Linked DNA regions of Tamandua tetradactyla. The protein of the gene in region 1 purifies or fractionates together with the protein of each later gene. This does not show direct contact. Links are inferred from orthologs where the notes say so. Each region holds a gene or a part of one and is shown on either strand. Other genes may lie near its edges. The genes, in order: BCCIP and EIF6.

Evidence for each region.
Region 2: the proteins of BCCIP (region 1) and EIF6 purify together in Homo sapiens (affinity purification with mass spectrometry; 3 studies listed by BioGRID and IntAct, counting the BioPlex papers as one, with this or other methods). This does not show direct contact. The link is inferred for Tamandua tetradactyla from reciprocal best matches to the Homo sapiens genes BCCIP and EIF6.

What each region holds. Positions count from the first base shown.
Region 1 is NC_135339.1:88,372,597-88,388,066, forward strand, and holds the start of BCCIP (BRCA2 and CDKN1A-interacting protein), read left to right. Parts: upstream 1-7,255; 5' UTR 7,256-7,256; coding exon 7,257-7,445; intron 7,446-15,470. UniProt on the Homo sapiens protein: During interphase, required for microtubule organizing and anchoring activities. During mitosis, required for the organization and stabilization of the spindle pole.
Region 2 is NC_135327.1:17,250,392-17,266,115, forward strand, and holds EIF6 (eukaryotic translation initiation factor 6), read left to right. Parts: upstream 1-8,856; 5' UTR 8,857-8,984; intron 8,985-8,994; exon of another isoform or gene 8,995-9,103; intron 9,104-9,230; 5' UTR 9,231-9,242; coding exon 9,243-9,349; intron 9,350-9,486; coding exon 9,487-9,572; intron 9,573-11,008; coding exon 11,009-11,184; intron 11,185-11,750; coding exon 11,751-11,927; intron 11,928-12,079; coding exon 12,080-12,261; intron 12,262-12,615; coding exon 12,616-12,625; 3' UTR 12,626-12,910; downstream 12,911-15,724. Other genes in the region: protein FAM83C, read left to right, coding at 709-1,221, 3,443-3,610, 3,810-3,934, 5,153-6,593. UniProt on the Homo sapiens protein: Binds to the 60S ribosomal subunit and prevents its association with the 40S ribosomal subunit to form the 80S initiation complex in the cytoplasm. Behaves as a stimulatory translation initiation factor downstream insulin/growth factors.

The DNA.
Region 1 (15,470 bases):
TTTGACACAGTATCCTGGGTTTTCCTAGTCGTAAAGTTTAATAGGTCCATAATTTTTCTCCTATCTCTCAAGGGACTTTGCCAATAGTTTCTGATTATCTGCTTAATACACTCTGGGATGTATCTAGGCATTACATTAAGGTATCAGGATTAAGGTACAGGATTAAAGGTGCTCATTCTTACTCTGTGCTTCCTGCGTTTGGATTGTTTAAATGATCTATCCAGATGTGTTGAGTTAGATTATGTGCTACAAAAAATTTAGGTTCTGGACAAAATAAACCTTTCTTCCTTTGGTCTCAAAGAGTAGGTGAAGTTCTAAAATACAGACAATGTCTCCCTTAGCCCTGTATTTTGAATTACCTTAATCCCAATCTTACTGGCTTCGTTCTTATCTCTAAATACCAGCTTAGACATATATAAAGCAGCTTCTCAAAATCCAGAAATAACAGTTACCTCTCTGGACTAAATGTGACTGTTATAAGAGTTTATCCTCTAGGCCCCAGTTTTCTTATAAGTGTTTTATAAATTAGATCATACAACATTTACTCTTTTGTTTCTGGCTTAGTTTGCCTCCACAAATGTCCCACAGGTTCATTCACATTGTTGCGTGCTTCACAACTTCATTTCTTTTTGCAGCAGCACAATATTCAATTACATGTACACACCATTGTTAGCCAATCTACTCAGACACTGTGTTAGTTAGATTCAGTTGTCAACTTGGCCAGGTGAGCATACCTAGTCTTGCTGCTGCGGACATAAGCCAGTGGTGCGTGAACCTCATCTGTTGCCAATTACATCTGCAGTCAGCTAGGAGGCGTGTCTGCTGCAATGAGTGACGTTTGACTTAATTGGCTGGTGCTTAAATGGGAGATTGCAACGTAGCACTGCTAAGCAGCTCAGCATTCCTCATCTCAGCACTAGCAGCTCAGCCCAGGCCTTTGGAGATGCAGAAAGAAGTCACCCCGGGGAAAGTTGTTGGAACCCAGGGGCCTGGAGAGAAGACCAGCAGAGACCATCTTGTGCCTTCCACATAAGAAAGAACCTCAGTGAAAAGTTAGCTGCCTTTCCTCTGAAGAACCAACAAAATAAATTCCCTTTTATTAAAAGCCAATCCGTCTCTGGTGTGTTGCATTCCGGCAGCTAGCAAACTAGAACAGACACCTTCATTTACTGGGCCTCATGTACAATGTCCAAAGCCAACAGTCCATCAACACTCTCAATTTTAGATGATTTCATTGTTCCCAAGGGAAAGATAACCAGTAAACATGCCCTCACCCAACAGAAAATCCAAAACTCTCCCCCCATTATGTACCCCTGTTACTGCTGCAGTACTGTCGATGTTTTCCTATTAAGCATAGCCCATAGCATGCATTAGTTTTCCCCCATACCTTGAACTTATATACTCTTTTGTACAAGCACATAATGAACTGCTTTTTAAGCAACCAAACCTGGGTGAACAACTAATGATTATGAAATCAAGTTCTAATTATTGCAGTTATTGAGCTGTTAGCTAGAGATTGGAGACTTGGAGAAATGGACAGTATCATTTCTATCATTTCCTGAGGTTACTCAAAATGTGTTTCTTACAGAAATTGTGACCCAACCCTTCTGCCATGGTCAGTTTTAGGTGTCAGCTTGGCTAGGCTATAGTTTCCAGTTATCCACAACTATAATCTAAGAGTTTGCTGGGAGGTATTTTGTAGAAGTGGTTAATCAGTTAGTTGACCAAGAATGGGATATTACCATAGACATTCTAGGTGAGCCTGATTCAATCCCTTGAAAGGCCTTAAGAGCAAAACTGAGGCTTTCCTGATGGGGAAGAAATTCTATCTGTGGGCAGCAGCCCTTCCTGCTGGCTTGTCCAACATATTTCAGGCTTGCCTAGCCAGCCCCCCTACAGTCGTGTAAGCCAGTTCCCTGGAATCACTCTCTTACTGTACATTACCTCTGGCTGTTTCTCTGGCTAAATGCTGACTGAAAAACCTTTCAGTTTTGGGTCTGCAAGTATCTGGCATGACATTGAGTGGCAGGTAAAACTTGGAATTTCTGCTAAAGAACAATTCCTTCTGGGGATGAAAAAGCTGAAACATCACACTGTTGGCAGCAGGCAGCCCTGTGGGCACACATGTTTTCTCACCCTTACCAGGTCCCTGCCATGGGCCTGGGCTCTGGGATACAGAACCCCAGACACTTTTCCAAGGGATGGTCTAGCAATGTTTTCAAATACCAAGGGTCATTCTCTCAAAAGTACATCTCACCAGCCAGGGCCTTCACATCAAAGAAAAATTAAATGCTGTCCTATTTTGGCACTTATTAATTTGGATCTCATTAATCTTGATCTCTGCTAAGAGTTGCCAAACCCATATCCTAATACCAAGACTTAGACTAAGAAAATCTTCCTGGAAGAAATTACATTTAAATGAAGACTGAGTGGAAGTAGCACACTGCAGGAGCTCTGAAGAAGAGAATTGTCTAGAACAGCTGGAATATTTGAGGGGGAAGTGAGGGGGAAGGGTGAAAGGCAGGCAGGGCAGGATTTGTGGGCTGCTGGCACTCAGAGGAAGACATTTGATTTACCTTACTAAAGTTACTAGCTTCAAGTTGACGGATTTATTTCTTCTCCCCTTTTCTCATTTCTGCTTGCCCTTTTCTCTTCCTCATTCTCTACTGGGGAAGCGTGATGCCACAGCACAAATACAGGACCAAAGGTCCCAGCATCATTACTTACTCATGGGGTAATCTTGTTTTCTGCTCTATCAAGCCACAGGGCTGTTAAGTGACTGAAAGGAGGTGATAATAACAGTGATGCTTACCCAGTACTTACCACATGTGACACACAGTTCTGAGTGCTTTTCAAAAATCTCATTGAGTCTATGAGGTTTATCCCACTTTATGGATGAGAACACTGAGGTATATCAAGAATTAAAGTCAGCCAAAGTCTCAGAACTAAGAAGTGGCAGAGCTGGGTTCATTCACCCAGGCAGTTCGCCTCCAAAGTCTGCGCCCTCAACCCTGACGCTATGCTGCCTCTCACATGCTTGGATACAAGTGTTCGGGAAAACACACAGGCGTGAAGATATCAAGTATTACCACAACACAAAGTGCTTACTTAGTTGAATAGTGCAAACCCATGAAAGCAAAATCAGCCTACCGACTGTAAACTGGGAAAACGTTTCTTCTGGGTTCTAATCTATGGCTCTCTTAGGTAATGAAAATGATGTGAATGTGAAGAAGCTCATAATAACTGCTAAAAGATTCCATTAGATGTGCTCTAGCATTGGAAAATAAAAATTGAATTACTACCCTCGTGGCTTCTTTGCTGTTGTTGACAACCTCTCTGAGGGAAAATGAGGAAGAACCATTATTGAGCATCTTTGCTGTACCCGAGACCCATATTATCAGGCGCACTGAGAAAGAAATCAATTGATAAGCACATCACTGCTAGTCACATTACTACTCTTCTTAGTGATTTAAATTTTGAAGTTTAAAATGCTTTGAGAATAGATTTTTCTTTCCATAATTGGGACTATTCTCTGAACTACTGGGCACGTTCAGCTCAGGGCCAGGTCCAAAGAGCTCAGAGAAAGGTCAACAGACACCTCCTCAAAGAGACACAGAGGGTCCCAGAAGGCCCTTCAAAGCCCAGGCCAAGGGACTAGACAAGAGGACTACCCTCAGTGAAGGAAATAGCCAAGGGGGAGGACTGGCCAATGGGGGCAGAAAGTATTTTTAGAGCTCAGTACAGTGTCTTTCATACTCAAGAAACTCACATTCCCACCATCTCCAAAGCGGGCAACAATTAAGAAGAGGAACACAGAAGCCTCCTCATTGTGACTTCTTACCCACGCCATCTCTGATTCTTGGGCACACAGAGAAAGCACAGTCAACCTAGAATGTGCAATACCACAACGAAATCGGTTGTAACTCTCACGAAAGTGAACTGATTTTTGGGGCTGTCAGAGGACTGCTGTCTCCTAAGAAAAATTACTTCTGTGTGTTCCCGGCACAGCCAGTACTCTTATTTTTCTAACAGGGGAAACTGAGGTTAACAGAGACAAGGGGACCCGCATGGACACAGGTAGCCGAGGCAGAGCTAGTACTAGGACCTGGTTCTCTGGGGTTTCTGTGCAGTTCTGTATGATCAGCTCAGGCCAGTTACTCCATCCAAAGACTTCTGAGAGGACGTGGACAATCATCCATTTGAATGAGCACCGAGTTAGCATGGCATTTTCAATCAACTATGATGCTTGTCGCTTGGGATTACATCTTAATTACTTTTTCTTATTAATTTCCCTCCACACTGGGTCCTTGTGATTTAACTTTAAAAGGGATCTTCCCTCATTCTTCTATCTTGGGGCAGGGTTGGTGAGGGTATGCTAGACTTTTTACCTTATAGTTGGGGTGACCATGTATCCTAGTTTGCCTGGGACAGTCTCAGTTTACATCTGTTGTTTACATCAGTTAACATATGGTTTAATTGTTAACAGTACCCACTTTCTCTCTCAAAAATATCTTGATTTAGACAATAAATTATAGAGTCATCTTATTTCTAACAGCTATGGATGCTCAAAAAACATTCTGTCTTACAGCTCAGAGGAATGGAAAAGGCACCGGACTAGACATGAGGAGACTAATTTCTTTTCAAGAAATTGGGGGCAGATAGTATAGTAAATGAGTTCATTACAGTATCAGATGCATGCTGAATAGGTTGAAAATGTGTGAAGCCAGCTGAGATGCTTTTATTGTCCAGTGTCTAGAAAACTCTAGGATTTAGGGTAGGCAAGGGATTTTTACAAAAACTGGAACAAACTCCTGGTGGTAGACTGAATAGTGCCACCAAAATATATGCCCAACCAAAACCTTAGAATGTGACCTTATTTGGAAAATAGTCTTTGCAGATATAATTAATTAAGGATTTCGAGATGAAATCATCCTGGGTTTGGGGGTGGGGGGCACTCTCAATTCAATGGCTGATGACTTACAAGAGAAAAAAGAAGAGAGATTTGGACACAGAAATACAGGGAAAGAGGCCATGTGACAATAGAGGCAGAGATGGGAATGATGAAGCTACAACCCAAGGAATGCCAAGAATTGCCAGGAACCACCAGAAGCTACGAAGAGGGAAGGAAGGATTCTTCTCTAAAGCCTTTAGAGGGAGCATGCCTCTGCTAACATCTTGATTTTAGTATCATGCCTCCAGAACTGAGAGAATAAACCTCTGCTGTTTTAAGTCACCTAGTTTGTGGGAATTTGTCATGGCAGCCCCAGGAAACTAACATACCCCTTCTCAGCAAAGCTTTCTCCCAAAGTCCAAAGTGGGATAACTTGGCTCACCTATGACCCTCCACATCTGAAAGCCTGAGCAGACCCTGCTAGTTTCCTTCTGATCCTTGCTTCTTTCCCGTTTTTACTGCAACACAGGTAGCAGGAACTCTTTAGAGGAGAGAGTGTTCTTTCAACTTGGTCACAGAGAAGTGCAGGAAGAAAGGAATTTCCATATGGACGTGATCCATCTCCAGCAGACTTATGCCTTCAGCTTGAACAAGCTAAGTTATCCCACTTTGGATTTTGGGAAAAAGCTTTGCTGAGAAGGGGTATGTTAGTTTCCTGGGGCTGCCATGCCAAATTCCCACAAACTGAGTGACTTAAAGGGGCAGGGATTTATTCTCTTAGTTCTGGGGGGCATGATACCAACACTTAAATCTGGGTAAAGTACACTAACATCCATGTTGTGGCCAAGACAAGAGAGTCTCAGGAAAGATGGAACTTTGGAGAACACAATCATGGGAATTCTGAGCTAATGGGGACCTTTAAGATATTCTAACTTTATCTCCTGCTGATGAATAATTACTGAGAAAAGGTCACAAAGTTTTTGATTCAATCTCTCAGCCATGCCAACCTCTCTATCTCAGCATTCCATTTTAATAATCACACAGATCTAACCCGTTCTCCTCATTTTACAGAGAAAAAAATGGAGAGCCATTGACTTCTTTCTCAGAAAGCTGATGTGTTTTCTAAAGAACTATTTTAAAATGGGCTGCAAACTGGTAGCCTGTGGGATAAACCTGATTGGTAAATGGACTTTATTTGGCTCAGCTTTAAAAACCAAGATAGGGTAGATCATCGTGGTTCAGCAGGCAGAGTTCTTGCTTGCCATGCCAGAGACCCGGGTTCGTTTCCCGGTGCCTGCCCATGAAAAAAAAAAAAAAAAAAAATCAAAATAGCTCCTGTAAAAATTCAGAAACCCAGCTTCTCCGAAAATGGAACTATCTGACAGGACTGGGTCCATATGGCAGCAGCTGGTTGCAGGTGAGCAGCAGCTGCCACCGTCCAATGGGGAGATACCCTAGACCCTGCTGCAGTCTTCTCCACTCCATTCTCTCAAATCTGGCTCAGGGCTGTAATTTAGATTACCCCACTCGGCCTGAAGCATTTATGGTTGCGATTCCTGCTTTAAAAAAACTGTCAGGTCAAGGAAATGCACCGAAAGAGGGTTAGTGAGGGGCAGGGATTCGAATCCGATTCAATCACCAATCGGCTGCGCCAGAGCTGTGGGGGGCAGACACCCGAGGCTCGGATTCCATGACCTTCCACAAGAGCGCACCCAGGCCAGGGCCCACCTCCAGCAAACAGCTGTGTGGAGAGGCCAATCCCGATTTTGTCGCTTACTCGCTAGTGACCACGGGCGGGTCCCTCCAGGCCTGCGGGCCCCATGTCCTGGTCGGTACAAGTGGGCAGCGATACCTACCTTGCGGGCAGGAAGCCCCGAATAGGCTAAGAGATGGGATCGTGCCCAGTCAGGGTGCGTGCATCTCCCAGTCCCAAGGAGGAGGCTGCTGAGGCTGCAGGGGCAATGACAGAGGGGAGGTCACCCCCATCAACACGTCTCCTGAATTGCCACTGCTCCGAGCCGGGGAAGGCCCCGGAGCAGCCAGAACCTAATACCCAGGGTCACGCAGCTGAGAGCTCGCGCATGCGTTGTGAATCCAAGTCCGAGGTGGGGGGGCGCTCCAGAGTGGGTCGTACCACTGCGCGAAGGGGCGGGAGAGCTTTATAGGGAAAGATGGGACAGGATGGAGTTGGAAAATGCTGACATAAAATATCAAACTATATTCGATTCTGCGAGGTCAAGGCCGTGGACCAAGCAGCGTCCTGGGGTTGATGTCGACTCACTGTCGAGGTTCTTCTTAGTCTTCCACCCCCTCGGCTTTGTGGGTCGGTCCTAGAGGTCAGGCGGGGCGGCCGCGCAGGCGCAGTATGCAGGGCGACAACATGGCGTCCAGGGCTAAGAGGCGTGCGCTGGGATGTGGGGTCTCGCGACCGTCTGGGGCCCCGGCCCAGCGGGACGAGGAAAAAGAGAAAGAGGAAGTCGAGGATGAGGAAGAAGAGGAAGAGGATGAAGACAGTGACGAAGAAGACGATGAACATGACGAGGTTGTTGACGAGGTGAGAAGCACACGTGAGCTCAGTTTGGTTGACATCTGGGAAGAAACTTTCTGGCACTCACAGCTGTGTGAAAATGGAGTGAGCTGCTTGGAGTAGTCCCCTCATCCCTGGGGGTCTGTAAGCAGAATCTGGAGGTGATAAAGTCTCATTGAGGTCCTACTTGGGTCTATTCTCCCGCTGCGGGCGCAGTAATTATTTTCAGTCCTCCCTGCGCGGGTCCGCCCTCTACCCCAAGAGAATAATCCGCCACTACGACAGTCTTCGCTGACTTCTGTAGTTTTCAGGCTGAAGTTCCCAGCCCTCAAAAGGCAAACAAGGGCCTGCAGAGTTTGTATTCTACTTACCACTCCAGCACCTGTCTCTCACTCGCTTTGTATGCTTCAGCAACATTGGCCTCTAAATTTCTTAAAGGCTACCTGCTTTGTTCTACCACAGAGCCTTTTAAAATGCTGTGCCTTCATCCCAGTTTTCCTTCTCTGTTCACATCTCATTAAGCTGTGTTTTCTTCTTGCCCAGGGCAACTGACCTCCCCAAGTCCAGGTCAAATTCCTTGATTGTGTGTTCTCAAAGATTTCTTCAAAATAACTCCTATCATAGTGCCAAGTCAGTATTTGTTGAACGAATAATTAGGATGGAGAGCAGGCCTGGTTGACCCTTGGGAATGTCTAATAGGTAACACATGGACCTGAATGGACATGTAATTCATGCCACCCTCCCCTCTCTCCAGTTGACCAGTTGTTCCAACCCCAGGCTTTGGAGTTAACTTTAATTATTCCCTTTTCCTCATCCTACATCAAGACCCCAGAGAGGACTTCCTTGACCACCTATCTATAATTTGTTTCCCTTACCTCTTATCCTGCTTTATTCGTCCTTGAGGATCTAACATTTCTTGCAATTATATATTTATGTGTTAATGTGCTTATTTATCTGTCTCCTGTGCTAAACTAAGGTCTAGGAGGGCAAGGATTTCTCGCTTATTCACTTCAGTATCTTCAGTACCTATACAGTGCTTGGCACATAGTAGTCACTCAATAAATATTTTTTAAATGAATGACATCTCTTCCAAATTATCCTTTCTGAGTCTATTCCCTTATAAATAAAATGGAATAACTTATCTGACAGGATGATGGTAAGAAATGAATGAGATGATATGTGAAGCATTTCGATTGTGCCTGGTAGGTGATGAATACTTGACAGCTGTTGTAATTATTTTTCACTTGGAGATTCTGAGATATGCAAAGTACAGGGGAGGAAAGGGCTAAGAAGGAATGAGCATGGAGGAGGAGGATGTAAAGTGTGGATTCTAGATTAGGGGTTGAGACTGTGGTGACTAGAACTTTCTGTACAAATCAGCTCTTTACTTTGGCCCCTTGTCATGAATGTGGTTTCACCATTTTTCACTCAGAACTTTGGTTCTTTTGCTGATTTTGGGTTACAACAGCATTTGTATATGGACATTTGGATACTCTGGAGAGTGTGTGTAGAGGTGGGTAGGTAATAAGACAAAAGTATTTTGTAATTTCATCATTGGCATGCATTACTTTAAAAAAAACCTTTATTTTTAGAGCATTTTTTAGAGCATTTTTCCTCCCTTCTCCGTGTGAATTTTCCGTTGTTAATATCCTTCATCAGTGTGTTATATTTGTTACAATTGATGAACCAATACTAGTACATTATTAGTAACTAAAGTCCACAGTTTACATTATAGTTCACTCTCTGTGTTATAAAGTTTTATGGGTTTTGACATAGCATGTATCCACCATTAGGATATAATGCAGAATAGTTTCACTGCCCTAAAAATGCCCTATCTCCTGGCCCTGTTGCTAAAGCCTTGGCAACCACTGATCTTTTTACTGTCTCTCTAGTTTTATCTTTTCTACTTTGCCAGAATGTCATATAGTTGGAATCATATTGTATGTAGCCTTTTCAGTCTGGCTTCTTTCACTGAACATAATGCATTTAAGGTTCTTCCATGTCTTTTCTTTTTTTCACTAAATAATATTCCATCGTATGGATGTATGAAAGTTTGCTTATCCATTCACCTGTTGTCAGATATCTTGGTTATTTCCAATTTTTGGCAATTATGAATAAAGTTACTATAAACATTTGTGTGCAGGTTTCTGTATAGATACAAGTTTTCAACTCATTTGGGTAAACGCCTAGGATTACAACTGCTGGGTCATATGGTAAGCTTATGTTTAGCCTTATAAGAAATGCCAAACTGTCTTCCAAAGGGCTGTGCCATTTTGTATTTGCACCAGTAATGAATGAGACTTCTCTTGCTCCACAGCCTTGCCAGCAGTTGATATAGTCAGAGTTTTGGATTTTAGCCAGTCTTTAACAGGTATATAGTACTATCTCATTGTTGTTTTAATTTGCAATTATCTTATGATACATGATGTTGAACATCTTTTCGTATATTTATTTGTCATCTGTATATCTTTGGTGAGCTGTCTGCTTACCTCCTTTGCCCATTTTTTATTGGGTTGTTTTCTTCTTGAAAGTAGTAGTAAGAGTTCTTTGTCAAATAGGTGTTTTCCAGATATTTTCTCCCAGTCCATTAGTTGTCTTTTTCTTCTTTTAGTAGTGTCTTTTGCAGAACAGAATTTAAAATTTTAATCAAGTCCAACTTATTGATTCTTTATTTCATGGATTGTGCTTTTGCGTTTGTTTTTAAGAAATCACTGCCAAGCACAAAAGCAGTAGATTTTCTCCTTGTTATATTCTAGATGTTGTATAGCTTTCTAGTTTTGCGTTTTACAGGTAGGTCTGAGATCTGTGCAAACATTACATTTTTAAAAAAATGTGTCTGTTGAGAAATCTTTACACACATAGAGTCCATATATGGTATGTAATCGGTAGATCACAGTATCACCACAAAGTTTTGTATTCATTGCTACCATCATTTTTAGACCATATACATCACTCCAGAAAGAGAAATAAAAAGAAAAATTGGAAAAAACTCATACATCCCATACCCCTTATCCCTCTCAGTATTTCAGTCTGCCCATTTTTTTTTACCCCTTCCCTCCTATTATTTATTTACTTTTTATCCTTATTTTTTTACTCATCTGACCATACCCTGCATAAAAAGAGCATAAGACACAAAGTTTTCACAATCACATGGTCACATTTTAAAAGCTATATTGTTATGTAATTGCCTTCAAGAATCAAGGCCATTGGAACATAGCTCAGCAGTTTCACTTACTTCCCTCCAGCCACACCAATACACCATAAACTGAAAAGGGATATCTATATAATGCATGTTCTAGTTTACTAGCTGCCGGAAAGCTATATACCGGAAACAGAATGGCTTTTAAAAAGGGGAATTTAATAAGTTGCTAGTTTACAGTTCTAAGGCTGAGAAAATGCACCAATTAAAACAAGTCTATAGAAATGTCCAATCAAAGGCATCCAGCCAGGGAAGGATTCCTTGGTTCAAGAAGGCCGATGAAGTTCAGGGTTTCTCTCTCAAGTGAGAAGAAGGCACATGGCGACCACTTTCAGGGCTTCTCTCTCTGCTGGAAGCGCACATGGCGAACACAGTGTCATCTGCTAGCTTTCTCCCCTGGCTTCCAGTTTCATGAAGCTCCCCGGGAGGCGTTTTCCTCTGTTGTCTCCAAAGGTCACTGGCTTGTGGACTCTGCTTCATAGTGCTGCAGCATTCTCTGCTCTCTCCAAATCGCCATTCAAGTTTAACAACCACTCTTGATTTAATCACATCTCCAGGAAGATGATCCGATCACAGTTTCAAATTCACAGTATTGAATAGAGGGATTTTTCTGCCTTTACAAAATGGGATTTAGATTAAAACATGGCTTTTCTAGGGGACATACGTCCCTTCAAACCAGCGCAATGCATAAGAATAACCTCCAGGATAACCTCTTGACTCTGAAATCTCAGCCACACAAACTTTATTTTGTCTCATTTCTCTCTCTCCCCTTTGGTCAAGAAGGCTTTCTCAATCCCGTAGTGTTGGGTCCTGGCAAGTCCCAGGAGTTCTGTCCCACATTGCCAGGGAGATTTACACCTCTGGGAGTCATGTACCATGTAAGGGAGAGGGCAATGAGTTCACCTGCCAAGTTAACTTAGAAAGAGAGGCTACATCTAAGCAACAGGAAAGATTCTCTGGGATTGACTCTTAGGCATAATTATAAGTAGGCTTAGCTTCTCCTTTGTAGGAATGTTTCATAGGTGCAAACCCCAAAATTGAGGGCTTAGCCTATTGATTGGTTGTCCCCACTGACAAGCATGACTTTTTTTTTAAGACATGCCATGTTCATGTATTAGAAGACCCAATATAACTAACTGTCACTTCTTCCCAAATATAGATTTGACACAATTCCAATTAAATTTCCAGCAGCATTTTTTGGTGATACAGACAAGCTTATAAAATTTGTATGGACAGATAAAGGATCTAGAGTAGCCAAAACAATTTTGAGAAAGAACAAAGTTGGAGGACTCTGGTACCAAATTTTAAAAAATACTTTAAGGCTATAATAAAACAATATGGTATTGATGAAGGGATATACTCATAAATCAGTAGAACCAAATAGGGTTCAGAGACACCCACATGAATATGGCTGATTTACTTTTGATAAAAGTGCAGAGACTAGCACAATAATATAAGTACACTGAGTGAAGCTGAATGTGACTGGTTGAGGGAGAAGGGCTGGCAGCCCATACGTCACCAGAAGGAAAGATAGAAGATAAAGACTGAAACAGTATAATTTAGGTATGCCTAGAGTGGACAATGATGGTGATTAAATGTGCAAATTTAAGAATGTTTTGCATGAAGGAGAACAAATGAATGTCAACATTGTAAGTTGTTGAAAATGGGATGATATACAGGAAAAAATGCAATCATTGCAAGCTAGAGTCTATAGTCAGCAGTAACATTGTAATTTGCTTCCACTGAAAGCATTACATTTTTGACTGAAGAAACCTACTGTATCTACTGCAGTTTCCTGTGCTGACATTTAGTGGATTTTTACTCCTTTGCTTATTTGAAAGTGGTCTTCATTTTTTGAGGATCATGCATCCACACTTCATTCCCTGCTGTAGAAATCCATGTGAATTATTTTGGAAATTCAAAAACTACTACAGGTCGCTTTTAAAATAAGAGGGTATATAAGTAAATAAGAAAATGAACAGGGCTACTTAAAGCCTTAAAGAACATAATTTTTTTTATCATTTTTTATTGTGAAATATATACAAAAAAGCAATACATTTTGAAGTACATTTTAACAAATTGTTATAGAACAAATTTCAAAGTATGGTATGGGTTACGGTTCCACAACTTTAGTTATTCTCATTGTTCTAAGACCCTGGAAACAAAAAGAAATATTAATGTAATGATTCAGTAGTTATACTTGTTTGTTAAATTCTATCTTAAAGAACGTGATTTTAGAAAGTGCTTATAAAGACTTCAGGGAGGAGTGTGAAAAGATGAGAAGAAGAAAAAGAATAGGTTTGTTTAGTTAAGGTTCTTGTGGGTAAATAGGTAGAACTCCTGTTTATGCTTAATATAAATGCAGATAGCTTCAGCAGAAAGGGGAATTTGTGAAAAGGATAACAGGGATTTTGTAGACCTCAAGAGCCAAAAAGCAGCTGGCCCTCTGGATCCCCAGGCCTGGAATTCTATAGGAACCCAGTTCCCTCATATTTCATCTCTTCTCTTCTCTATTATATTCACAATACTTGATATTCTTTCCCTTGCTATTCATATAGCAGAAGATGGAAAATGCAGCAGCCATTGAGATTTTTATTCAAGAGAGCGTAGGCTAGACAGCACATTTAGTCTTAATACTAAATCACTTGGAGGTGAGCAGCAGAATATTCTTTTATGACTACAACTGCTCCCACTGAAACCAAAAGGATAGGGAATCCATACCTGGGGAAACTGGTGCTGGGTGGATTTAATGGTTAGATTCTGATGTCAACTTGGCAAGATAATGGTGCCCAGTTGTCTGGTCAGACAAGCACTGACCTGTTACTGCAAGGGTATTTCATGGCTGGTTGATAAACCAGTAGGCTGGTTTATTGACTCATCAGTCACTTGATTGCATCTGTGGCTGATTACGTCTACAATCAACTAAAGGCTCTCCAGAAAATGAGATAATCCAGTCAGTTGGATTTGATCCAAGCCCTTGAAGACTTTTACGGGAGAAGAGAGAATTTTCACTGCTTTTTCTGCCAGCCAACCTCTGCTGTGGAGTTTGTCAAGACCCTTCATCAGAGATGTGAGCCTTGCGGCCTGCCCTATGAATTTTGGTCTCTTAATTTCCATGGAGACACTTTTATAAATCTTATATTTACGGATATCTCCTGTTGGTTCTGTTTCTCTAGAGAACTCTTACTATAACAGTTTGGTATTGAGAGTGGGGTGGCTATTTCCTCAGGGTAGGCTGGAGGTGGGGTGGCTGTTTCTTCAAGACAGATCATTACATGTCTTTCTAGCAAAGACTCAGCAGAATCAAGTGTTTCAGTGTCCCCACTGCTATCATTATCAATCCGTTGGTCCCCATCCCAAGTTTCAGGATCCCATTCTTTTTTAATCAAAGCCTTTACTTTTTAAAAAATATTTTTATTGAGAAATCTTTGCACACATACAGTCCATATGTAGTATGCTCACTGTATCATTGTATAGTTGTATATTAATAACCATGATCATTTTTAGAACATTTGCATCACTCTAGAAAAAGGAATAAAAAGAAAAAACTCACACATACCATACCCTTTACCAACCCTCCCTCTCATTGACCACCAGTATTTCAGTCTACCCAATTTTTTACTCTTTGTCTCCCCTCCCATTATTTATTTATTTTTTATCCTTATTGTTTACTCATCTGTCATTACCCTAGATGAAAGGAGCATCAGACACAAGGTTTTCACAATCACACAGCCACATTGTAAAAGCTCTATCATTATACATTCGCCTTCAAGAATCAAGGCTAGTGGAACACAGCTCAGCAGTTTCAGGTACTTCCCTCCAGCCATGCCAGTATACCATAAACTAAAAAGGGATATCTGTATAATTTATAAGAATAACCTCGAGGATAACATCTTGACTCTGTTTTGTTTGAAATGTCTCTGCCACTGAGACTTTATTTTGTCTCCTTTCTCTTTTTCCCCTTTTGGTCAAGAAGGCTTTCTCAATTCCATGATGCTGGGTCCTGGGTCATCCTGGGAGTACTGTCCCATGTTGCCAGGGATATTTACTTTGAAAAGCCTTTACTTTAACAGCAGACACCATGCAAGGTTGAGAATTTAAGTTTACCCTGTAAATCTACTATTCACAAAATAAGACTCTAGGTCTGATTTTCAGAGATCTCAAGTCGGTGACCACAATAAACAAGATTTTCTTTCAGGGACACATAGAAACATTTACATCTTTCATACAGCATTTAAGTTGTAAATTTGAAGCCTTCAGCTCATCCCTTTCCCTCATAATTGTATCCAGCATATCTAAGAACACCCAGCCAACATCATTTTACCTCTTAACTCTACAAAACTCTGTTAAGATGTCAAAACATTTTCACCCAGAACTTTGCCTTGTATAAGAATGTAGTTAGCAGAAACAAATGGGAATATTTGCGCATCTCTATTGCCAACTCAAGCCATGGACTACCAGTACCATCTTGGTTATTGGAAATAGAGTCAGTAGTGCCTTTGAGTCTAATCAGAGTAGAAAACCAATTGTAAAATCCCATTTTTAAGGTTCTGTTTTTTAAGCACCACTCCTGGTTCTTTTTTAGCTCAGGTCCATCTCATAGTGGATTCAGTGGATCCCCAGGCCCATTCTGTGGTAATTTCCCCAGTTTCAGAATGCATAATTGGAAGACATATTCAACAGCTGACAGAATCGCACATAGGTTCCCTGACTTAAGGAGTGAGGGCTTTTATGATAGGAAAGACCAAGTGGAAGCCGAGACAACTGCCTTTACCTAGCAAAATAGTAAATCAGAAGCAATCCTGGATTCTTGAAGGAATTGCAGAGATTATTGTCACTCCTAAGAACTTGAA
Region 2 (15,724 bases), on another chromosome or scaffold:
AGGAGTACAGGGTGGTCATGGGAGCAAAGAAGAGAGGACCAATGCTCCATTCAGCCTTTATTCAGTGCTGGTGTGCAGGGTGTGTGGAGGCTTGTGGCATCTGTGTGGCATCCTTTGGGGTTATGGCCAGTCTCACTTGGTCATAAGAGTATTTGGGTCAGTGTATGTGAGTCTGTGTATGGCAGCATGCATTCTATCTCTGTGTCTGCAGCTGTCAGTGTCAGGATGTATGTCAGCATGCCTGCTTGTGTGTTCATGTCTTTATCTTGGTGCCTTGAGTCCTTCAGACACCCTGGGTGTGTCTGTGTGTGTTCCTGAGCAGGCCTGGGCCCCTCTGGACCCTAATCCAGCCTCCACGGGGACCTTAGAAGGTGGGGGTAGGAGGGGCCTTGCTAGGAGCCTGGTGTGATGGGGCTGGAGATGCTGGGTGCCGGGGGTGTGTGCTAAGGCCCGACACCGCCCTTCCCTGGGTGGGCAAGTCCCAACAGTGGGCAGACAGGCGGGGCTGACCCAACAGGTTCCAGAGGCCAGAGGCAATGGGGTGGAGCCTGGCTTTGACTTAGGGTGGCAGCGGGTTGGGGGACCGGACACACACACGGGGCGGGCCAGCAGGCAGGAGGCAGTTCTGCTGTCTTCTTCCTGCCACAGCCAGCCTGAGGTGCACCCCATGGGGGCTTTGGGCGGCTGAGGGCAGCCAGGTGGGCAGGCATGTACGGAGGCTTAGGGCCCGGGGGCCTGGGAGCCCAGGCCGTGGCAGGACCCCTGCGGGGCCGGGTAGAGGAGCTGAAGCGGCCATGGTGGCGGGAGTCCTCCCCTCTGGTGCTGCGGCACAGCGAGGCCGCCCGGCTGGCAGCAGACGCCCTGCTGGAGCGGGGTGAAGCGGCCTATTTGCGTGTCATCTCTGAGGAGCGGGAGCTGCCCTTCCTGAGTGCCCTGGACATGGACTATATGACAAGCCATGTGCGCGGGGGCCCCGAGCTCAGTGAGGCTCAAGGGACGGAGGCCTCAGGGCCTGACCACCTCAGCCTGCTCTCCGAGGTCACCTCAGGCACTTACTTCCCCATGGCCTCTGACTTTGACCCCCCGGACCTGGACCTGGGCTGGCCCGAGGTGCCACAGGCCACGGGCTTCAGCCCCACCCAGGCCGTGGTCCACTTCCAACGGGACAAGGCCAAGAACATAAAGGACCTGCTACGTTTCCTCTTCAGCCAGGCCCGCACGGTAAGGGCCTCATGTCTTCAGACACTTGTGCCATGGATGTGGAAACTGAGGTCCAGGGAGGGAAAGGGAACAGCCTAAGGCCACACAGCAATTTGGGGGCAGAATGGGGACTAGAACCTCTGGCCCCTACTAGATAATAAGCTTCTAGAGGGTGGGTGTGTATTTGGCCCTCAAGAAAATTTATGGATAGAACAGGGGATGGGCCTCAGGGACTCCGTGAAACCCCTGAAAATGCATGCAAAGCTAAGTCCTCTTGGCATCTCTCTTAGGAAGGAGTCCATGGCCTTCATGAACTTCTTAAAGAGCTTATGACCCCAAAACTAAGAACCCCAACATTAAAGAACATCTGAGCTGTCCCCAACTTACAGAGGAGGATGAGGCCCGAGAGAGGCTGGGCCTTGCCTAGGGAGGTCCAGTCAGTTGGTGAGATAGCGCTCTGGGCTCAGAAAGAGACGAGAGCCCTTGATATGGCCCTGTTTCCTGGCCCACACCCCCGTGGGCCCCTCATGCACAATATCTCCAGCTGGGGCTGGAGTGGGGAAGGGGGCTTTGGTGCAAGGGCCTTGGCCTGGGCTTGAGGGCTGAGCTTTTAGCTGTGCACTGGCAGGTAAACAGGAATGGAGGCTGCTGGGCTCAAAGAAGGGGATTAGGGGGCTCAGGAGAAAGAAAACAAGGAGGGCTAGAGGCTTGATGTCTTCAGGTAGGGATGGATGGTCAGTACCTGGGAAGGCTCCAGCCACAGACTCACATAGCTTTGCCGCTGGAGCCCAGACCTCTGTGACTCAGGAGAAGGGGAATGAATAAGATGACCCCTGGCAGGAGTTAAGGTAGGGTCTGGGATGCAGCCCAGGAGACTTCTGCTGTAGAAATTTGGAGCCAGGTTACCCGAGTCCCAGTGGTGTCTTTGCCAGAGCCTCCCGGTGCCCCAAGCAAGGGAGAGCCAGGCCTGATTGGCATCAGGAATGGGGTTATTAGTGAGGTGGTTGCTATTGCTGTCATCATCACCCCTACCCCTTTGATCTCTCCTGCCTGTCCTCGTTCCCCCAACCCCTGCCCAGGCCTGGGCTATGGATCTTGGGCATCTCCCATCGCCTTGCCTCCTCACCCCCATCTGGACCTCTCCATCCCTTGGTCAGGAGCCAGGCTTCTGAGCTCTGTCACTGACTCTTCAAGTGCCTTTGCAAAGCACTTCCCCTGCCTTGCAGTCCAATGTCCTCATTTGTTAAGAAGGCAACAGGAAAGGAACATTTACTGAGCTTCTGTTGTGTGTGGAGCATTTCCACGTTTAAATCTCATAACTCTGAGACATAGCTATTATTAGCTCCATTTCACAGATGAGGAAGTTGAGGCCCCCAGAGGTGAGCATCTTGCCCAAGGCCGTATCACCAGGAAGAGCAGAGTCCACATTCGAATCCAATTTTGTCTGCCTCCAGAGCCAGAGTGCTTTGCTCTGCATCTCCCAATTCTCAGCCCAACTGGGAGAAGAAATTCTGACAAGCAGATACATGCAATGGGAAGAAGTGGCAGTTGGGGTCTTGGGGATGCTGGAGGGTTTTCTTGACTTATCTGAAGCAGCCTGTTTATAGAAAGGACATACTAGTCCAAGCCCCTGACTGAACAGAAAACTTGGTTTCTCTTGTTGTGGGTGGAAGTGAGGGAATCCATGAGTGTAAGGTGTCATGCCAGACATCTGCAGCTTCACAGGGAAACCTGGGGGAGGGCTGCAAAGGGCTTTGAGGACCCCAGAAACAGTTCTGACCATTGAGGGGGAGGTCTCAGGCAGACAGACAATCCCTGGGCCAGAGCTAGGGCTAGAGCTAGCAGGGAGAATGCAAAGAGCTGGACTGGGAACCAGGGGGTCTGGCCTCTGCTTCTGACTCCTTCCCTACTCTGGACCTCAGTGTTTCCCATCTGTAGAGTGGGGCTTTAGACTAGTGCAGTTTATTCAGACATCCTTGAGAACTGATGACAGAGAAATACTCTGTCCCCAGAAAAGTGCACACAAAAACTTTCAAAGAACTTCTGGAGCTTTAAGACAGTCAAAACTCCCTGAGCCCAAGTTAACAACCCCTAGACTAGGTCATTGCTAAAGGCCCTTCCAGTTCACAGACTCTGACCTCCTGATTTTAGTTCAAGGTTATTTTCCTGGGCTCTCAGTCCCTGTCCTGCACTGGATGTGGGCAGTGCCCTGGGCAGGGCTGAGCTCCCTCCCCTCTCCCAGGTTGTGGCTGTGGCAATGGACATATTCACCGACATGGAGCTTCTGTGTGACCTCATGGAGGCCTCGAGCCGGCGCGGTGTCCCTGTCTACCTACTTCTGGCCCAGGAACACCTGAGGCACTTCCTGGAGATGTGCTACAAGATGGACCTCAATGGGGGGCACCTGCCGGTCAGTGAGGAGCAGGAGCAGGAACCAGGGATGGGGAGGTCAGAGACAGCAGAAGTCAGCTGGGTGGTCGGAGGGCACTGGGGTCATTGAGGGTAGGGTCTGGGTTCTCTTAGCTGTTTTGGGTCAGAGACCCCATGGGGCAGAGAAGGCTTGAGCCCAAATCTCTCAAGGTCCCAACCTCCCTCCCTCCTTGGTCCAGAACATGCGTGTGCGGAGCACATGTGGGGTCACCTACTGCAGCAAGGCTGGCCGCCGCTTCACTGGGAAGGCCCTGGAGAAATTTGTCATCATTGACTGTGAGCAGGTGGTGGCAGGCAGCTACAGGTGAGAAAACGGAATGAACAGAGGGGGTCTGGAGCAGTGTCATGGGTGGTGGGGGCATCTCAGATCTGGTCACCTTGAACTTTCCTTTATTTATCCATCCCTTCTAAAGTGTACTGTGCCCCTACAGTGTGCCAGGCATTGAACAGGGCTCAAAGAGATGGGGTGGGGAGTAAGACAGCCCAGGCTGTGCTCTCAAGGAGCACATTCTAATGAAAGGATTACTTTAATGCTCTTCGCATAGAAAATAACTATTTCACATCAGAACTACGAGGACTTCAGGGAACCTCACCTCTGGTCCCTATTACAGATGGGGAAATTGAAGCCCCAGGATGGGTAACCACTTGCCCAAGTGCATTCAGCAGAGCTAGGACTAGCTCAGAGTTAGAGCTCTGTCCCCTTCACCATAGAGCTTTCCTGGTCATTTTGATCCAATATTCTGGTATGCCTCTGGGGCCTGCCCTTGCCACCTGTTTCAGTTTGCTAATGCTGCCAGAATGCAATATACCAGAAATGGGTTGGCTTTTACAAAGGGGATTTATTAAGTTATAGGTTTACAGTTCTAAGGCCATAAAAACGTCCACACTAAGATGTCCAGAAAAAGATACCTTGACTCAAGAAAGACCGATGTCTGTCATATGGGAATGCACCTGGCTGGCATCTGCTGGTCCTTGTTCCTGGTTCTGTTGCTTCCAGCTTCTGATTCCAGTGGGTTCCTCTCTAAGTGTCTGTGCACCTTCACTTAGCTTCTCCAGGGCAAAACTCTGGGTTCTGGTTTGCTTAGCATCTCATGGGAAGGCACGTGGTGATGTCTGCTGGGCTCTGCATCTCCAAACATCCATGTCTAAGTATCTGATCTCTGTCAGTGCTCAGAGCATCTCCAGATGTTTGCATCCATGTCAGCTCTGGGCTTTCTCCAAAATGTTTCCCCTTATAAAGGATTCCAGTAAACTAATCAAGACTCACCTTGAATGGGTGGAGTCACACCTCCATCTAATTGAAAGGCTACACCCACATCTGGGTGTGTCACATCTCCATGGAAACAATCCAATCAAAAGGTCACACCCACAATTGGGTGTGTCTAATCAAAGGGTGGCACCTGCCAGTCAGGTTCCACCCTACAATATTGAGTCAGGAGTAGAGGAACATGGCTTTTCTGGGGTACATATCAGTTTCAAACCAGCACACCACCTGGCCCTGATCCTGACCTTCTGCCCCCAGCTTCACGTGGCTTTGCAGCCAGGCCCACACTAGCATGGTGCTACAGCTGAGGGGCCGCATCGTAGAAGACTTTGATCGGGAGTTCCGCTGTCTGTATGCTGAGTCACGGCCCGTGGAAGGCTTCTGCAGTGGGGAGGATCCACTCTCTCCCTGGGCACCACGCCCTCCCCCTGTCACCCTGGCCTTCGGGCCTGGCATCCCCAGTCCCACGTCCTCTTTGCCCTCTAGCACCAGCCTCAGCAGCATCAAACGCTCACCTCTCACGGGCCACTCCTCCTACCTTGCGCTACCAGGAGTTACTGGCTGCAATGACATGGGTCTGGCGTCCTCGTCCCTAAACCCTGCCCACCACGAGGACAGTGGCCAGCCCTCCCAGCAACGTCAGTTGTCAGACCCTAATCACAGCTCCCCACGTGGGCCCTATAAGGCCAACCTGGGCAAGCTCGGGGCGTCTCCCTGGTCCCAGTCCTCTCCTGCCCTCAACCATAATAGTGCCAGTCCCCTCATCCTGGCAGTGGGGTCACCTCTACTTCCCCACTCACACCCTCACCTCCCCATCTCACGAGGGGGCACAGTCCTGCCCCGGCTCCCAGAGAATGGGCTCCTGGCTTCCCAGGAGCCTAGCCCCCCAAGAGGTCGGTGGATACCTGGTACAGGCCTGGAGATGATGGAGGAGAGAAGGACATCTCTGAGTCAGAGCCATGGCCAGCAGGATCTCTTGGCCGCCCTCCCCACAGCTCAAGAAGCAGGAGGCCCTGACTCTGAGGTTTCCGCCAACTCAGGCTCCCATTGGCCTGGTGAGCAGGCTCCAGAAGACAGGAAGATGTCCCCAAGCCAGAACTACAGCCAGCTGGACCTCCTGTCCCGGGCCCAGGGTGCCAGGGGCACCCCTGAGATAGCCTCCTCCAGAACTCGTGATCAGGCCTCAGAGGACAAGAAGCTGTCCCTAAGCCATAGCCACAGCCATTTGGACCTCCTGGTGCCATACCCAAAGGCTCTGGGCTCTAGAGTGCCCCCTGAGGCCAGCTCCCCAGCCAGGCCTGGCAAGCAGGGCCTGGATGAGCAGCAGCAGATCCTGGGCCACAGCCAGCTGGACCTTATTGCAAAGTCTGGCCCATTCTGGCGTGAGGGGCTTGGGCCCAACGGTCTCCCTGGACCAAGACCCACTCACAAGGCTGGGGTGGGGTCTGGGGATGAGAAGCAGATGACTCTGGGCCACAGCAAGCTGGACCTCATCACCAAGTATCACCAATTTCAGGGAACCAGGCAGAGGACAGAGCCTGGCCTTCCTGGGAGTCCCACAGGTGGCCACCACAACAGTGGTAGCAAAGACGTGTATGGGGGTGAGAAACGCCTGACCCTGGGCCACAGCAAACTGGACCTTATCACCAAGTACAACAAGTCCAAGTTTAAGCTGCTCCGAAGCCGCTTTGAGTCCTAGCCCCACTCTCAGTGAGACAGGTCCCTCCTTCATCCGCTGAGATTCTGAACTCTGGGGTGGGAGCTCTGGGTAGCGGCTACATGAGGAGGGCAGGGATTCTAGGAGTGCAGATCAGACCTCCCTGGGCTCAGAATGTGTGCTCATTTACACACACACACACACACACACATGGGGAAATGGAACCCACAGTTATTGAGCATCTATCATTTGCTGCTGTGTTGGGCTCTTGACAACAGTTACCTTTTCTCATCAGTCATCCTCATAACATCCTACAAGGTGGGCCCCTGTACATATAATAATGATAGGCCAATAGGATTATCCTCCCTATTTTATACCTGTGGAAGGTGAAGACCAGAGTTTGTATGGCTTGCTTGGAATGAGCTCCAAGTAAATGGCAGAGGAGGGTCCAAACTTGTGCCTCAGCGACTGTAAAGATTATGTGTTTTATACAAACATGGCACACAATACTCACAATTCATATGTCCATGCACACAAAATACATCACAGAGAGGTCCCAAGTACCTATATAACACACACAACACACCGATAGGATACGTACGCACAAACAGCACACCCAGAGACACATGCAGTCAATAAACACACGCAGATCAGTGTGATAAACCAAAACACTCAGAAGTCTAGTTGTAGGTACAGTAAATTTCACTTGGTTAAATGAATGGCTACTTGAAACACGTGTGTTGAGTGCACACTATAGAGCCCCTTAGGATTGACAGACCATAGCATGCACATGACCCACCCCCCACCCCCCCACCCCCCCCCGTAACTTCTTGAATCTAAGCTATAGTCCCAGTCCTGTGCTGGGCATGCCATAGGGCCAATAAATGAATCAGACTTAGACCCTGGGAGATAAGGATTGAATGCACAAACCACTGGAGAACAGAGCAGAGCTGTATCTAATTAAAGGCTAATTGGTGTCAAAGGATAGTAGAGATTTAAGGGTGTAGAGAGGATGTTAAGGAAGGTTTCTTAGAGGAGGTGGCATTTGAGCCAGGCCTTGAAAAATGGGGAGGATTTGGCAGACGGAGAGAGTAGGAAGGATTTCTGGTAGAGGAAACCAGGTAAGGAGAGGCTCAAGGCTAGGTCTGATGAGGGGGTCTGAGATAAACTGAAGAAGATAGAGTGAAGGAATACACACACACATCCCTGTGCACACATATACACATGCAACATACACACATCATCATCATCTTGCTGTGTGTCTCCTAAAGCATAGGCTGTGATGGGCTATGGCCCTCTTCCTGAGCTTACCCACTGCCTGAGACAGGCCACATAATACAAATCAATAAATACAGACATGGCTATGACCCAGCACCAGCCTGGCTTATCCTGAGGAATGTGGAGTTATTGTACTGCATACTGGGGGCAGGGGGAGGGAACAATTCAGGCCAGTTTGGGAGAACTCCCTGGAGGCAAGTGGATGGCTGCAGGAGGGCTAGGTGGAGGTAAGGGGCTCCAAGCCCCCTCTCCCTCTCTGTGACTGAGAGACCTTGGGACTTTTGCAGATTCTGTCAAGTTCTGCAAAATTCTTCTGTTCAGGACGGCAGTCCAGGACACCAGATCACCACATCCTCAAGCCCCATAAGAGTGGTCCTTAGCTACCACCATCTATTTTGAGGATCAAAGGTGGCTGCGAATGAATGATAAGTACTTATGCCTCAAGTAGGAGGGGCATATGGTTAAGCCCTTGAGCTCCCAAACCCTTGCCCACCCTGGATCCCTCTCCCTCCAATTTCCTCCTAATCTCCTTCATCCATCTTTCCCTTCTCTTCAGCCCGGATTCCTCCTTCTCCAGCCTTTTTTTGTGCCGGTCTCGCCCTTCCCTACAGAACTCCTCTCTCTAGGGTCCCCATTCACCCCAGACTTCAGTAATAAATCTCATTCCTCAGCCCCTCACGGTTTCCTGGGCTCCAGACCCGGCCATCCTCCTACTATCTGCACATTTATCCGCCGCCTCCCACTCAGTATGGCAGAGTTGGCCTCCTCGCCTTCCCCCAGACCTGCTCTTCCTCCTCCTGCCTTATTTCAGTAAAACAGCACCATCAGCAACCTATTTTCTTCTACGAGCCATCCCCGACTCCTCCTCGGCCTCTTGCCTGAGATCCGACCAGCAGCAGGTCTGAGGTAGGCAGTCCCTCCTAAAAAGCACCTGAACGAAGGAGGACATGCAAACAAGCTGGGGGCGGGGCCAGGAGGAGTCACTACTGACAATTTGCAACCATAGAGGCCTCCCGGAGGCCGAAGCTAGAGTGGCCGCATGCGTGGCAGGGCGCGTCCGGCTTTCCCGAGAGTCTTCCAGCTCCGGGACGGAAGCGGAAACCTATTTCGGTAGAAGAAGGGATTATCGCCGCGTGTGGAGGGTACGGTTAGTCGGTGAGTTTCCGCGAGGGGAGGCCGAGAGGGTCAACTCTGGGCATTCCGGTTTGCGATGGGTGGGGACTGGAAGACTCAGAGCCGGAGAGTCTGGACGGGTTCAGGGGACGGGGCCGGAGGTTTGAGAGGCCGAGCTTGGGGTGTTCTGAGGCCGAGAGGGGCGGGGTCGCAGCGGGTCTGAGGGGCCGGGGTCGGGGTGTCAGGGCCAGGGGAAGATCGGCCGCCTCTCAATTCCCGATCTCTCAGGTTTCAGGCTTCATGGCGGTCCGAGCGTCGTTCGAGAACAACTGTGAGATCGGCTGCTTTGCCAAACTTACCAACACTTACTGCCTGGTGGCCATCGGAGGTTCAGAGAACTTCTACAGGTGCCGCGAGAACCCTGCGCCCCGAGAGTAGTGGGTGGGTGGGTGGTGGGGAGGGATGCTGGGAGCCAGGGACTCCTTCGGAGGAGGGAGGACATCAGCCCGTCAGCCCCGTGACCACCGAGTCCATGTCCCCACAGTGTGTTCGAGGGCGAGCTCGCCGATACGATCCCCGTGGTGCACGCATCAATCGCCGGCTGTCGTATCATCGGGCGCATGTGTGTGGGTAAGGCCGGTGGAGGACGCCAAGGAAGTGGAGCTTCCCAGCATCTCTAATTATAGCCCTGGAGTGGACCCAGAGTGACCTAGGGATTTCCAGTCTTTCTTCGGTTATCTCTGGGAACTTCAGAATCTCTAGATACTCAAGGCTGGGAAGGACCCAGTCTGAGCGCCCACAGTTATCAGGGCAACCTCTTTCAAAGGCTTCTGGATGGTAGTTTTCTGATAAGAGTTTTCACTTACATGCCTGATCTCATTCTTTCTTCCCAAAGACCCTGGGAGGTAGGAGAAATTATTGGCCTAATTGGATTGATAAAGAACTGAGACTCCCACAGACTCCCACAGTCTTAAGTGACTCACCAAATTCCACACCTAGTGGAATCTTTTTTCTCTTCCTTCTGACTCTGGCTAAGTTGCTACTTCTTTACAAGCATCCATTTCCTCCTCGAATAAAATGAAAAACTGAGATTCAGGGTCATGCTGACCAGTTATCCTTTGAGATCTTAAATTCCTGTAGGACATTTCTGAGTGGCCTCTTTCCCTGCTGCCTACCTCTTAGCAATGTTGACTCTGACCATTGGTTCTTTCTCTGAGTTGAATCTGTCTCCCTTTACTGCTACCCCTTGTTTCTAGCTCTGCCCACTGAGATCAACAGCAGTGTATTCCCCCCCCCCCCTTTTTTTTTTAAACCTTAAGCCTGGTCACTCTGGCCTCTGAGTATTTTCTTATTCAGGCAAAATACCCTGATCCCTAACCATGACTTTAGGTCTTGAAGCAAATTCTGATGTACAGGGGAATTTATCCTGGCCCTGAGTGTTTTTTAGGCTTCAGAAGTTCAGAATTGTGGCCTTCTAGATATAGGCAGAGATTTAGCCATTGTCGTTACCACATAATTATTTGCTGCATAGTACATTTTATTTAAGTTTACCACAATGTATTTATTATCTGTTCTGTTGACAATAGGCATTTTGGTAGTTTTAAATTTTGGTTATTATGAATGGTACTACTATGTTTTTTAATGAACATATGTATATATTTTATTTGGTATATCTATCCCTAGGGGTCAAATTTATGGGTGGCAGGGTATGTGAATCTTCAACCATAGTGGATGATATCAGATAATTATTTTAAGTGACCAGTTTACACTCCATCACATTGTATTATAATTTAAAGTAGCAAAATATACAAAAGACTCCTTTCTGCTAGTTCTTCTCCCTCTTGGTTAATGATAGGGAATGGACAAGGTGGGTTGGGACATGCTCCTCAGCCATTGCTTGCCTGCCCACTGGGACTTCTGGTCTCCCTGAGGGTTATATGGATCAGTGAATTGGAGGACAAGGGTCTGGGCCTTAAAGCTTTCCTAGAGAAGTTGATTTGGCTCAGTGGACATCTTGTGTATTTATTGTCCATCCTTGTCCCATCCCCCAATTTGGGTCCCTCCAGGGAACAGACATGGTCTCCTGGTGCCCAACAATACCACTGACCAGGAGCTACAGCACATTCGCAACTGCCTCCCAGACTCAGTGCAGATCCGGCGGGTAGAGGAGCGACTCTCGGCCCTGGGCAATGTCACCACCTGCAACGACTATGTGGCCTTGGTCCACCCAGATCTGGACAGGGTGAGGCAGCTAACTTGGCCAGAGAATCACGGGTCATCCTACTTAGTAGTTAGCCACTGTTCTTGCTTATCAGGTGGGAATTAGGGGCATCTCTTATGGCTTCTCTTTGTATCTGGGCTCATGTTAGCTTACTACTAGGCACTCGTAGTATTATTAACAATGTACAGAGGCCTTCACTGGTGCCATCACTGTCAGAAAGAAGGTGGGGAGGATAGTAACTCTTTAGAACTGGGGACCTAGAAGAGTGACCTCATCCTGTTCTACAGGTCAGGATAGGTGATTGACAGTTGTTGAATCCTTGGGTGTGGGGTAGAGGTAACAGGGTGGCTGTGGAGACGTGTCACTGGCTGTTCGGAGTATACATGGCTATTAGAGGTGCCATAGCTGACCTAGACTCTTCTTTAAGCTGTACCCTTTCCTTTCTCTGGGTGATGCTTCAAACACAGCTAAATAGCAGAGGAATGAGAGATTCAGGGTGCTAAACCCTGGATCATTCTGGGCTTGGAGCACCCCTGGGTCTTTGGCCTATAAGTTCTGGGCCCTGACTATAGTACCTTTACTGACAGGAGACAGAAGAAATCCTGGCTGATGTGCTCAAGGTGGAAGTCTTCAGGCAGACAGTGGCTGACCAGGTGCTAGTAGGAAGCTACTCTGTCTTCAGCAATCAGGGAGGCCTGGTGCATCCTAAAACTTCAATTGAAGATCAGGATGAGCTGTCCTCTCTCCTTCAGGTTCCCCTTGTGGTAAGCATTCCAGTTCTCTGACCCTGTCTCCTGCTGAGGCAGATTCCTTTGCCCATTGGCCATTACCTGCCACATTTTGGGATTGGGCTTTGGGTCGGAGAGGAGAGACTTGGCTGTTGGTGCCATGACCCATTTGAGCCCATCTCTTGCAGGCAGGCACTGTGAACCGAGGCAGCGAGGTGATTGCTGCTGGGATGGTGGTGAATGACTGGTGTGCCTTCTGTGGCCTGGACACAACCAGCACAGAGCTGTCAGTGGTGGAGAGCGTCTTCAAACTGAATGAAGCCCAGCCTAGCACCATTGCCACCAGCATGCGCGATTCCCTCATTGACAGGTACCCGGGGCCTCTCTACTCTTCTGCCAGAGTGGGGGTTTTCACTTTGCTTTCTGAGGTAGGGGAAGGGCTTGTCCTCGGAGGCCCTAGCTTATAACAGATAATAGTTTGAATAAATTATTGAGTGAATTGACCCATTTGGGTGGGGAGGGTGTTACTTTCAGTCTTTGAGCATTGATAGTTCTAGACTGGAAGAGTGACTCAGGATGCATTCAAGCCTGGAATCTGGATGGGCCAGTTGTGCTCCCAGTGTAGCTCTTGATCTAGGGGTAAGGGTGGAGTCAAGTACCTTGAGAATAGAGGGTGGGGTGTGCCCCCTGAAGCAGCTACTGACAGTGTTCCTTCTCTCTTCAGCCTCACCTGAGTCACCTGTGCTGCTCTATGGGCTCCTGCCTCTGGACTTTCGCTCCCTCTCCAGGCCCCACCCAGTTTGTTACCAGATGCTGGCATGGAGATGGCAGAGAGCTCACTGGGAGGAACTGCGTGGCTGGGTGCCCAGTGTTTCTTGACCTGTGCCTGTCTCCTGAGTTTATACTTACTGTAAAAACCTGCCATATTGTGCTGGCTGTCAGGTCCTGTGGCTCTTGGCTGAGGGCTCTGCTGTCTTGTGCCACCCATTAAAGGGCAGCTGCCTCTGGCTATTCTGAAATGTGTTGTTTGGGAGCCTCAGTCTGAGTCTGTTGTTCCAGGGTCCTGAGAGGGTGAAGTAGGATGTACACATATACCCCTCTGTTCCACTTCTCCACCCCCACGACCTGGAGCCTCACCCCAGGGCAAGAGGAAGCAGCACTTTGCCACTGTAGTTATCGCATTTTCCACCCAACTGCAACCTTGGCTTTCTCGGCTTCAGTGGAAGAGAATCTGCGGCACTTTTCCCCTGGGCCGTTTTGAGGATCCTCTGCAGGCTCTGAGAACCAGGCTACGGGGCAGCCTTGTCCTCTCCACCTAAGTTGGAAGGGAGTTGCCGGCCTCGCAGTCAGGTCTCAGCGACCAGGGGGGCGGGCCTCGGGGAGCTGGGGCGGGATTGGCCGGTTGCTGGCAGTCGGGGCTGTGACGCGTAGCTGTGGGTGAGGACCGTGCGCGCGACGTCATGACGCCCACTCCTCGGCCAACCCGCGAGAGAGCGGAGCCCGGCGCTTCCCGGAGAGGTCCCCGTGAACCGCAGTCCCGACTGCTTGAGGTGAGGGCGGGTCCCCCGAGACGCTGCGGCCGAGCCCAGACCTGCAGGCTCTCTCCTCCCGCAGACCATGGGGGCGCTGCTGAGCGGCGGCCAGGGCCGCCCGGAGCCAGTGCAGCCCCAGCCCACGGCTCCGGAGGACCCTAGGCGGCCCGAGCCCGAGCCCAGCCCGTGGGGCCCTCTGGATGACGTTCGCTTCCTCATCACCTGCACGTCCTGGTACTGACTCGGTACCTCCGGAGTATGCAGCCCGCACACCCGCCCGCTCGCCCAGCCGCGGCCTCCTCATCTGGCTTTCGTCTCTTCCCACGTCCTTGCGTCTGTCTTACCCCCAACCCCATCCCCGGCATCTTGGAAAGGACAGAATTCGGAGGGCCGACTTCCCAGCCTCGCCAGGGTCATCGTCTCATCTCTGGCCATTCTCCCAACCCCGAAAGTGTTATTTTTTCCAGCCTGAACCCAAACCTAGGTGAGACCTCCGTCCTCACCCCATCCCTCTCTCCGGTTTTCTGGATCCTGGGGCAGACCAATTTCAAGTCTGCAGTTCCTGCTGCCAATGGCTGAAGATGGAACCTCTACTCCCTGAATCAGGCCAAGACTTCTGCTAAGAACCCATGGCTGCTGACCTCACCTTCATCCCGTAATTGCTGAGAACTGGGTCAGTGCCTGTGTTTCATGGTACCATGTGCTGTGACCTAAGAGAAGACCTTTCCAGGATTCCGGTGATGCTGTACTCCCAGGACCCCGGTAACAGTGGGCCCCCAAGGCTAGCCTTTTGGAGACAGAGAACATTTCTGATGCTTGTCTGGCAGGGATGTGTGAGGCAGCTCCAGTCCACCCCAAAGCACATCATACCCCACTGCTCCTAGAAGCATCCTGAAGCCAACATCAGAACTTCACCCTTGTCTCCACACTCCAGGAAAATGAAATGTTCTGTATTTTTGTTTTATTTAGAAATGATTTAAAAAACATTATACAAAGGCTGATCAGTTTAAAATGTGACTGACACTGAAATGCTGTGATGTCCCCCAGGCTGAGGGGAAGCTGGGCTCTGAGGCCTCATGTGCTTTGCCCCTCTGTCTGCCCTGTCCTGGGGTGATGGACAAACAGATGACCACAAGGCAGGAGAGCCAGAGATTGGAAGCCTCCAGGCTGAGCCCTTCCTGGACCTGGCCTTGCATCCCTCACATCTGCAGCCTGGGCTGCCTGCCTCCATCTCCTGCTCTTTCTCAGCTAGCCTATATGGTGCCAGGAGCCAACAGGGAGGAGCCTGGGAGGCCAAGAGCCTTTAAGAAGTGAGAGCACCAACCTGAGGAGTGGAGAGGGAATGGGGGAGGTGGGCAGAAGTAGAAGGAGACAGATAGAGGAGACACCTCTGATCTCATCTTGGACCCTAGAGGGGTCCACAGGTGAGGACCCGAGGCCCAGGCAGCTCACTGGATGGCCTGGGCAAGTAACAGAACCTCTCTGCACTGTATCCAAGGGAAGGGCATGATGAAAGCCACCCTCAGCCTCCCAGGGCCTATGCACATTTCATGGGGATGGATGGATGTGAGCTAATAAAGTGCTTTGCAAAATATAAAACACTGTACAAACCTATGAATTGCTAATATCTCTGCAGTCGTTCCCCGCTGCCCCAGGGAGCCCGCCCTTGGCCAAAATGAGAACAAACAGAAGAATGATGACAAGGGACACAGTGGACCCACATAGCTCCTCTGGGACAAGAAAGATTTTGCTTGAGACAGCTCCCAAGACAGCAGGAGTCTCTGTGCTACAGGGTAAGCGGGCCCACAGCCAGAGGCCATGGGGCGGGGCAAGGCCCATGTAGGTTCAGAGGGCAAGGGAAGCATCTGAGACCCTGCCAGCACCCTGAGGGCTGCCTGTCACCACCTCTGGCTTTGACAGAGAGCAGCAGGCATTGCTGAACCCACTGGTTTTATCTAGGGTGCCTCAGTGACAAGCAGGGCTGCCTCTACTGTGTTGGAGTGAGGCAAGATGAGCCCTGGAAATTCCTGCCAGAGACAGTGAAGGGTGAGCCCAAGAAGGGTCAAAAAGAGGCTCTTAGGCTTGGGTCTGCTACCATCTGGGGGTGCCCTTTTCCTAAGAGCTGTGCAAGAGAAGGGGTGCAGTGAGCTGGTCAGCAAGGACCAACCTCATGGTATAAACACTGCTTCTAGGCTAAGAGACTGAGTTGGCTTCAAGGTAGCTGAGAATTTCAGAAGGCTGCCTTGGGCCCTGGAGCCATCCTTGCCTCACCTAACTAGTCCAGCTAAGCTCCCCCCAGCC